Danio rerio: one gene and its partner. The protein of the gene in region 1 purifies or fractionates together with the protein of each later gene. This does not show direct contact. Links are inferred from orthologs where the notes say so. Each region holds a gene or a part of one and is shown on either strand. Other genes may lie near its edges. The genes, in order: pes and noc3l.

Region 1 (3,831 bases):
GCCATCCACCTATAATTTGTTTATTTGAAAAATTTCCTAAAATTGCTTAATAGAAACACAAAGATGCACATAATTTTGAAAATGTGCAATAAAAAATGTGCACATAACTGAATAGATTAAACCAGAGAAGCCCAAAGTATGACCTGCGGGCTAAAGTTGGCCCTATGTAATCTTCGATTTGGCCCACCATCCCGTCTAAAAAAAGAGGGAGAATGATGGGGAGGGGTTGGGGCGAATGCCTTTGACAGTGATCGTCATTTCCAATTCAACAAAACCTTTTGCTTCTTTGTTTTTTTACTGAGCTACTAAAACTAAACTAAAAAATGAATGATTCAATTAAATACTGTATATGCTTCCGACTTTTAAAATGTAAATATTGTAAATACTAATAAATACTGTAACTTGACAGATGCACAAGAAATCTGTGAGCAAATCAAAGTAATCTTGACTAGTGTATTCAGCATAGGACTTATGGATGGGATTTTACTGTATTAAGTTTATTATAAAATGTTAAAAATTATACTGCATTAGTCAATATGATTTAAAGCAATGTTTTCTATTTTTTAATATTACCAAATAAATTAGGAAATTACCCATGGCAAATGTAATGTATATGGTTTGGTATATATTCGGTTCACAGCCCTCAATAAAGACTGCTTTTTGACCTTTTATAGTAAAAGGTTTGGGCACCCCTGGGTTTAACCTTTCATCATATAATACAAAACTTTGATGGAACAACATTTACAGAATAAAATCCAGCATGTGCATCAAAAAAAAAAAAGTTATGTGATTGTTTTAACAGATTTATTTATTTTTTGCTTTGGTCATTGTAAAATCCCTCAGCCAAAGTCTGTCGTCAAGGTGGTTCAGTATTATAACATTACTTTAGTGCCAGGTTATCAGGAAGTCATTTTGTTCTTTTTGCCTTAGAATGGAAGTGCTGCTTTATTCACAAATGTTTTATTTAATATTTCAGTGCTGCACATAAATCTAATTCACATTTTTGGATGGAAACATAGCTAGTGTGTGAAAGTGATACTATATTAGCAGCTTGCAACTACAATCATCACAAAAAATCTGAAAAGGAATTAATTTTACTTTTAATAGTCAGATGCTAATTGTCTAATCCAATTCAATGATTTATGCTAAGCTAAAAGTACTCCCGCCAGACCCGGAGATAGACTTGATGGATTCAAAAATGGTAAAACTTAACCCAACGGAGCTGTAAAATGACCATACGTACATATAGACAGGTCACAGCCCTGCCAAAAAATATTAATAATAAAAATTTAAAAAAATAGTAATTAGCAAAGAAAATCAGTGCATCTCTACACAGCAGTAAGTAAAACCCTCACGTGGTTTCTCTCCTCTCTGCAGGGCCATGAGCTTGAGTTTCTCTGGCGGCACATAATCTCCTTCAGTCTCCTCCACAAACGGTGACAGATGAGGCGGCAGTGTGACTCCCAGAAAATACTCCTCCACAGGTAACTGTATCTTAGCATTGACAGAGTCATACACCCACTGGGGCTGAATGTAGTATCTGCACCATTGAAAAAATTCATAAAGCACAAGAATATACACTTAATACACAAACATAAAACACTTCATTGAACACATACACAAAGACATAATCTATTAACTTTAGAACTACAGGTTAACTGTTTATATATACTAACTTTAACTGTTAAAAACTGTTGGTTACTAGTTAATTAATGTTATTAGTAACTAATAACGTTATGGTAACTAATAACCTTAATCTTTCCAAATTTGATTGTAATGCAATAGTATGCACCTTTTGCAAAGCTTTGAAATTATAATTATAAATACAAATAAAACTATTATAAAACAACTATTATAAACTATACAAATAAAACTAAAGCATAAACTGACTACAGTAAACACAGAAACTACAGTAAACACAGCTACTGTATATGATCAGAGAGTTGGTTTCAGACCTGTTGATATACTGTTTGTCCATGCTGGGTCTGTCCACGATGTGATGCGTGATTGTTTCGTCTGTGGCTTCATACGTGCTGCCGATGCACAGGGATTTATCCCAAGACACCTCTCCACCAAAACACCTGTACAACATATGACAAGTTTATATAAGCTGACAAAAGTGCAGGTTCATAGTGTTTTTTTTAACATTTCTTTACATTTTTTTGGATTAAAATCAACTAAAATGAAATGTATATTAAAATCTGTTTCGAATAATTGCCAAAACTTTGTCTTGTAAAACAGCTAAAACTAAATAAACAGTATACTGACATAAAAAAATGACAGAAACATTCAACAAAAATGCTAAAACATTAACCCAATAAAAATATATATAAAAAAATAAAACTGACCAAAAATATAATCGTATATTATTGATATTAAACTAACACTGACTTTTTTGTTGATTACAGATGCAACGATTAACCAATTTCGCTATTAACTGCGCTTTGATTCGTCACAGTTAATTAATCGTAAAGCCTTCTCAACACCGTGTTTCAGCAGGGAAACTGCTGCACCTAAAAGTTATGCTTACTGTGTGCTAGTTTAAAGTTCTGAGCTTGTACACAATACACATGTACACACTGGATTAAAGGCTGACTTTACCTATGGCAGAAGCTAAAACCATAAGGCTGTTCACATATCTTGTCTTTTGTGCACGCAAGTTTGTTATTTACTATGGAGGTACAGGCAGTGCAACGTGCTCATGCTTTCCAGGTGCACCTAGTTGAATGAAAGCACTGCGAGTCACATGACAAGAACTAAACGGTCAGCTTCATACTCTGTATGGACTATACTATACATTCCTACTCCAAAGAGAAAAATGTATATAATATTAAAATATAGTTGATCAAAAGTGCCTTTCAGACAGTGGTTCAGCAGCCTTTGCCTACATTGGATCTCTTTAAAAGGGAAACCCTTAGCTAATAAGTGGTTTATATTTATTAGACATTAGAAAAATACAACTTTTTAAAATGTATTCTTATTTATATTCATTAATTTATTATTGTTCTGTCATTGATTTTCAGTGTAAAATTATTACTTCTGTTTAAACGCCAAAAACTTCTTTTTAAGTCCAAAGTAAAATGGACTATTGTTTGTTTGTTTGGTTTATTATTATGTTGTGCTGTATTCATTGGTTATTGAATAGCAATACATAACACTTTAAAACAAAAGGAGTTTTCATGTGATTTTCTAAACTAAAAGAGTTTAAAATGAATGAATGCATAATAATCGTGATTATTCCTCAGACTGCAATCATACAACTAAAATCTGTAATCGTTGTATCCCTATTGTTAATATAAAGTTTAGTTTTATTAAATTCGATTTTATTCATTTATTTAATTTAAAAGCAACCATGTAACAGAATACACACACACACACACACACACACAAGGGGTTGCACCAACTAGTCAACTAATCGACTTTAATTCTCTGCCGTGATGCTTTTTGATTGATGTCGACTAGTCACGCTCTGCTGATCATGCGGTTTTGGACCTGAACGACATGTCAGCTTTACCCACAGGTGGCTAACTGGATGAAACTGCCCTCGGATTATTTAAATTAATTCTTAAAATGGTATCTTTCTTATGTCAGCGTCAAAGATTCACGTGAACTTTGAGTGAACTTTAAATGGTCAAACAGATGCCAGTCAGATTACTCCATGCAAATACCCTTGAGCATATGCTACCCAATCACGTTTACGCAACCCTGGAAAACTAATGTAATTGGCTGTTGTCCTCTGGGAAGTAGACGCGGACATATTTTGTGAATGAACAAATGAATGAATGAAACTGAGAAGTGCTAAGCCAGGAAGGTGTGACTTCACTTCATAGT
Region 2 (3,831 bases), on another chromosome or scaffold:
TTAACAGAGCAAGAAAATTTTTACAGTATTTCCTATTATATTTTTTTGTTTTGGAGAAGGTCTCATTTCGTTTACAGTCCTTCCAGGATTTTGAGATTGCTGAATTTATCACAAAAACAAGCAAACTACACAAAATTTTGCAGATCTCACATTTTTTTATGAAATGCCACAGATTTTCTGCAAAACTGGGTCTAGATGCTTTCTATGACATCATTACTGAATGTATTTACCCAGAATACCAGAACAAATTTCACCAGAAGAAGACAGCATTTTACACACACACAGGCACGCACGCACACTGACACGCACACGGACGTGCACATTTACCAACAAATAGTACTCTGAAAGACGCAGAAAAAAATTTGAGGTGAGTGAAATTACTTGAATAAAGACTTTTTTTTTGCAGGCTCTCACCACGTAACACCGGCATGGTGTCAGGCCTCTTTCACAGCGCATGTGCTAGCAGAGCAGAATGCAGCGTGTATGTGTGTGTGTGCACGCAGCGCATGAGCAGATTCGTGTAAAAGAAACTTGTGGGCACTTTAAATTTACTTTATTATTTTTTATCTAATTTTCTTCTGCTTATCTTTTTCTTTTTTTTTTTCTTTTTTTAGCTTTTTTTCAGTTGTTTTATTATTAATATGTTAATGAGTTTAATTGTTATTTGGTTACATATGTTGAAATTAAGTGCTATTTTATGTTACAGAACCCAATGTCTTAAAAAAAAAAAAAAATTTTATTCATTTTAAAATCTGTCATTTTTGGCCACATAAATCAAAATAAAGTCCTGCAAAATCCTGGAGGAACTGTTTTAGCTTTTAAAGCAGTCTTTACATTTTTTACAATAATTTTTTAAATATTGTTTTTTATTATTTTTATATTAGTTTTTATAATATTAGCCAACTTAAGATTTTAAACTGGCTACAGAACAGACCAGTTGTCCAATTACTTGAATTATCAACCCTACTTGACTAGTTAATCTAACCAAGACTTTAAATTGCGCTTTACAGAGTTCCCACTCTAAGCCACATATCAAATTCCCTCACTTTCCACTGACTAATCAGCTGAATTTCCATGATCTATAATAAAGAGCGACAGGCAGCTGGACTGTTCAGCAGTTCCTCCAGAATAATCCGATTCTGTCAATGCTAAATTAAACAAAAATATTGGTGCAAAGTTTATAGGAGCTTGCACTTTTTTTACTGACACAGATTTCCTGCAATTTTTGGTCAGCCAGGACAGCTAAAATGGCTGCAACACCATCTGCATTGTTTTTGCTTATAGAAAGTGCTTAACTGGTGTGTGATACCTCATGTTGTTACAAGAGAAACCTATGATTCTTGAGGTCAAATTTTTTTTTAATTAACTGAGATATGTAATTGTGTATATTTTACGCAAAATCTAAGAAGAACAGACAAAAAAAAAAGACAAAAAAAACAACAACACCATACAGTATTTAACAGTCAGTATTTTTCATGACCGCATTTCAATTTCCAAGTGGGAAAAAAAATCAATAAATTAAAATTTTAGTAAAAAAAAAATAGTCTAGCGATAACAACAAGCAAATATGTGAACAGCTTGATAGGAAACATGGGGGGAAAAAATCAGAGATACATTTTTATTAATGAAAAACCAGTCATTACAATCTAAACAAATATAAAATTCCTGGACCTTCAATATCTGGAATAGACCTTTTAAATATACAATTAAATATACTATTCCAGAAAATGACATGTGGAGTATCTTGCTAAATAATTTTTTATCATCATGGCAGGAGGGCTAATATTGTAGTCTTGATCTGTGTATGGCTGACAGTTAGCAGACTGACCTTCTTGTCGGAGTCATTCATCAAAGGCACCAGCATGACTATAATGTTGTTGTGGAAGTTGAAGTGTGGCAGAGCAACCAGCAGCTCACAGATGCAGCGCACGGCCACTTCAGCAAGACCCTTGTAGGACTGCAGAGACACGGCCTGACTTCTCTTCTCCTTCTTCTGCTTCCAGTCTGAAACGACAGCAGATCAGTCAGACAAACAAACAATGGATGAACAGGTAGAGCAGAGAACAGAGATCTACCTTTGACTGTCTGTTCCAGCTCCTCCAGGTAAAACTTATACTGGCTGACCAGACCCTCCTCAAACTCTCTGAGCTGCAGCGTCTCTTTCTTCACCTGAAGCAGAAAGGCAGATGCATGAAGCAATTTATTTCACACACATTATAGTCTTTTTTTTTTTTCCTGGAGTCCACCTGTCTAAAGAGCGGCCCCAATTAAGTCCTAATGAACATATTTTGAATTCTCAATGAACATTTTTACAGAATATAAGTCACATAATTCATAAACGCAGTTTCAATAGACTTTTAAATTAGTTTAGATTTGTTTTGGGGCTGCACGAGATATGGTTTCAGCAACGATATCACAATGTGCACATTTGCAATAGTCACATGGCAGGATCTGCATTTTTGAGTCTGTAACAATGTTGGAAATAATAATGTTGAAAACTGTAACAGAGGCGACACGATGGCTTAGTGGTTAGCACTGTGGCCTCACAGCAAGAAAGTCGCTGGTTCAAATCCTGGCTGGTTAAGTTGGCATTTCTGTGTGGAGTTTGCATGTTCTCCACGTGTTTCTGTGGGTTTCCTCCGAGTGCTCTGTTTTCCCGCACAGTCCAAACACATGTGCTATAGTTGAATTGGGTGAACTAAATTGGCCGCAGAACTAAATTGGCCCCATAATATCAGCCAAACGTTCTGCAGGTAGCACCCAAAAGCAGTGGAAGATGCTAACCATAGCACAATACTGAACATCGACCTCTGGATATGCTAAAGCAGGGGTGTCCAAAATCGGTCCGGTGTCCTGCAGATTTTAGCTCCAACTTGCCTCAACACACCTGCAAGGATGTTTCTAGAAAGCCTAGTAAGAGCTTGGTTAGCTAGCCCAGGTGTGTCTGATTGGGGTTGGAACTAAACTTTGCAGGACACCGGCCCTCCAGGACCGAGTTTGGACATGCCTGTGCTAAAGGAAGGCAGCTCTCGTTACGGGGCTCTAACGCGCCATTCGGAATAAATTAAATCTATCAATAATTAAAATAATTAAATCTTCTCAAACAAATGTTTGCTCCTGACAGCAGGTTTTGATCTTTGGTTTCATTCTATAATACTGGACTTATTTTCCTACGAAGGAACTGTGAAAGTGATTAAACAAGAGAGAAAAGTGTGAAAATGTTAATGGCTGTCTGAGAAAATAGTGTAGTGAGGGGTTTTACAGCTTTAAAACATATACAATAATTGCAAAAAATAAAGCTGACTTCTACTTATTTACTTATTACCAGGGCCTGACGGAATCTGCAGAAGATTTTGCTATTTCTGCGGAGAATGTTGGTAAAAATCTGCGGAATTATTTTGGGAGTATCATAACTAAACCTTAATATGTTAAGTAAAAAGTAATACCTTTTAAACTTTTATTTAATGTTTAAATTGCAAATCCAATTAGATGCACTTTATTTGGTAAACAAAGCAAGTCTCTCATATAATATCTTTACTAAAAGACAGAAAATATTACTGTAAAAACTGAATTGTGCATAAATCAGATGAACATTTTCATATTAGTCAATAATATTGCTTTAATTAATTAAAAAACTGAATAACGAGATTAACGAGACCACTGTATCTGTAAACTTTTTACATCAATGCAATTTATTGTTTCATTTCTTTCAAGCAAGCATTTTTTGTTGTCTTTTTTAAAGCACACTGGAAACATCTTTTACTCAAAATGAAAAGAATAATCAAGTCACTGCACCTTTGCGGCCTTCTCTTCTTCCGTCAGAGGTCGGAT

What was found.
Region 2: the proteins of pes (region 1) and noc3l purify together in Homo sapiens (affinity purification with mass spectrometry; 3 studies listed by BioGRID and IntAct, counting the BioPlex papers as one, with this or other methods). This does not show direct contact. The link is inferred for Danio rerio from reciprocal best matches to the Homo sapiens genes PES1 and NOC3L.

Annotation. Positions count from the first base shown.
Region 1 is NC_133180.1:13,532,563-13,536,393, reverse strand, and holds part of pes (pescadillo), read right to left. Parts: intron 2,082-3,831; coding exon 1,956-2,081; intron 1,541-1,955; coding exon 1,356-1,540; intron 1-1,355. UniProt on the Homo sapiens protein: Component of the PeBoW complex, which is required for maturation of 28S and 5.8S ribosomal RNAs and formation of the 60S ribosome.
Region 2 is NC_133187.1:5,950,971-5,954,801, forward strand, and holds part of noc3l (nucleolar complex protein 3 homolog), read right to left. Parts: coding exon 3,796-3,831; intron 2,170-3,795; coding exon 2,076-2,169; intron 2,005-2,075; coding exon 1,829-2,004; intron 1-1,828. UniProt on the Homo sapiens protein: May be required for adipogenesis.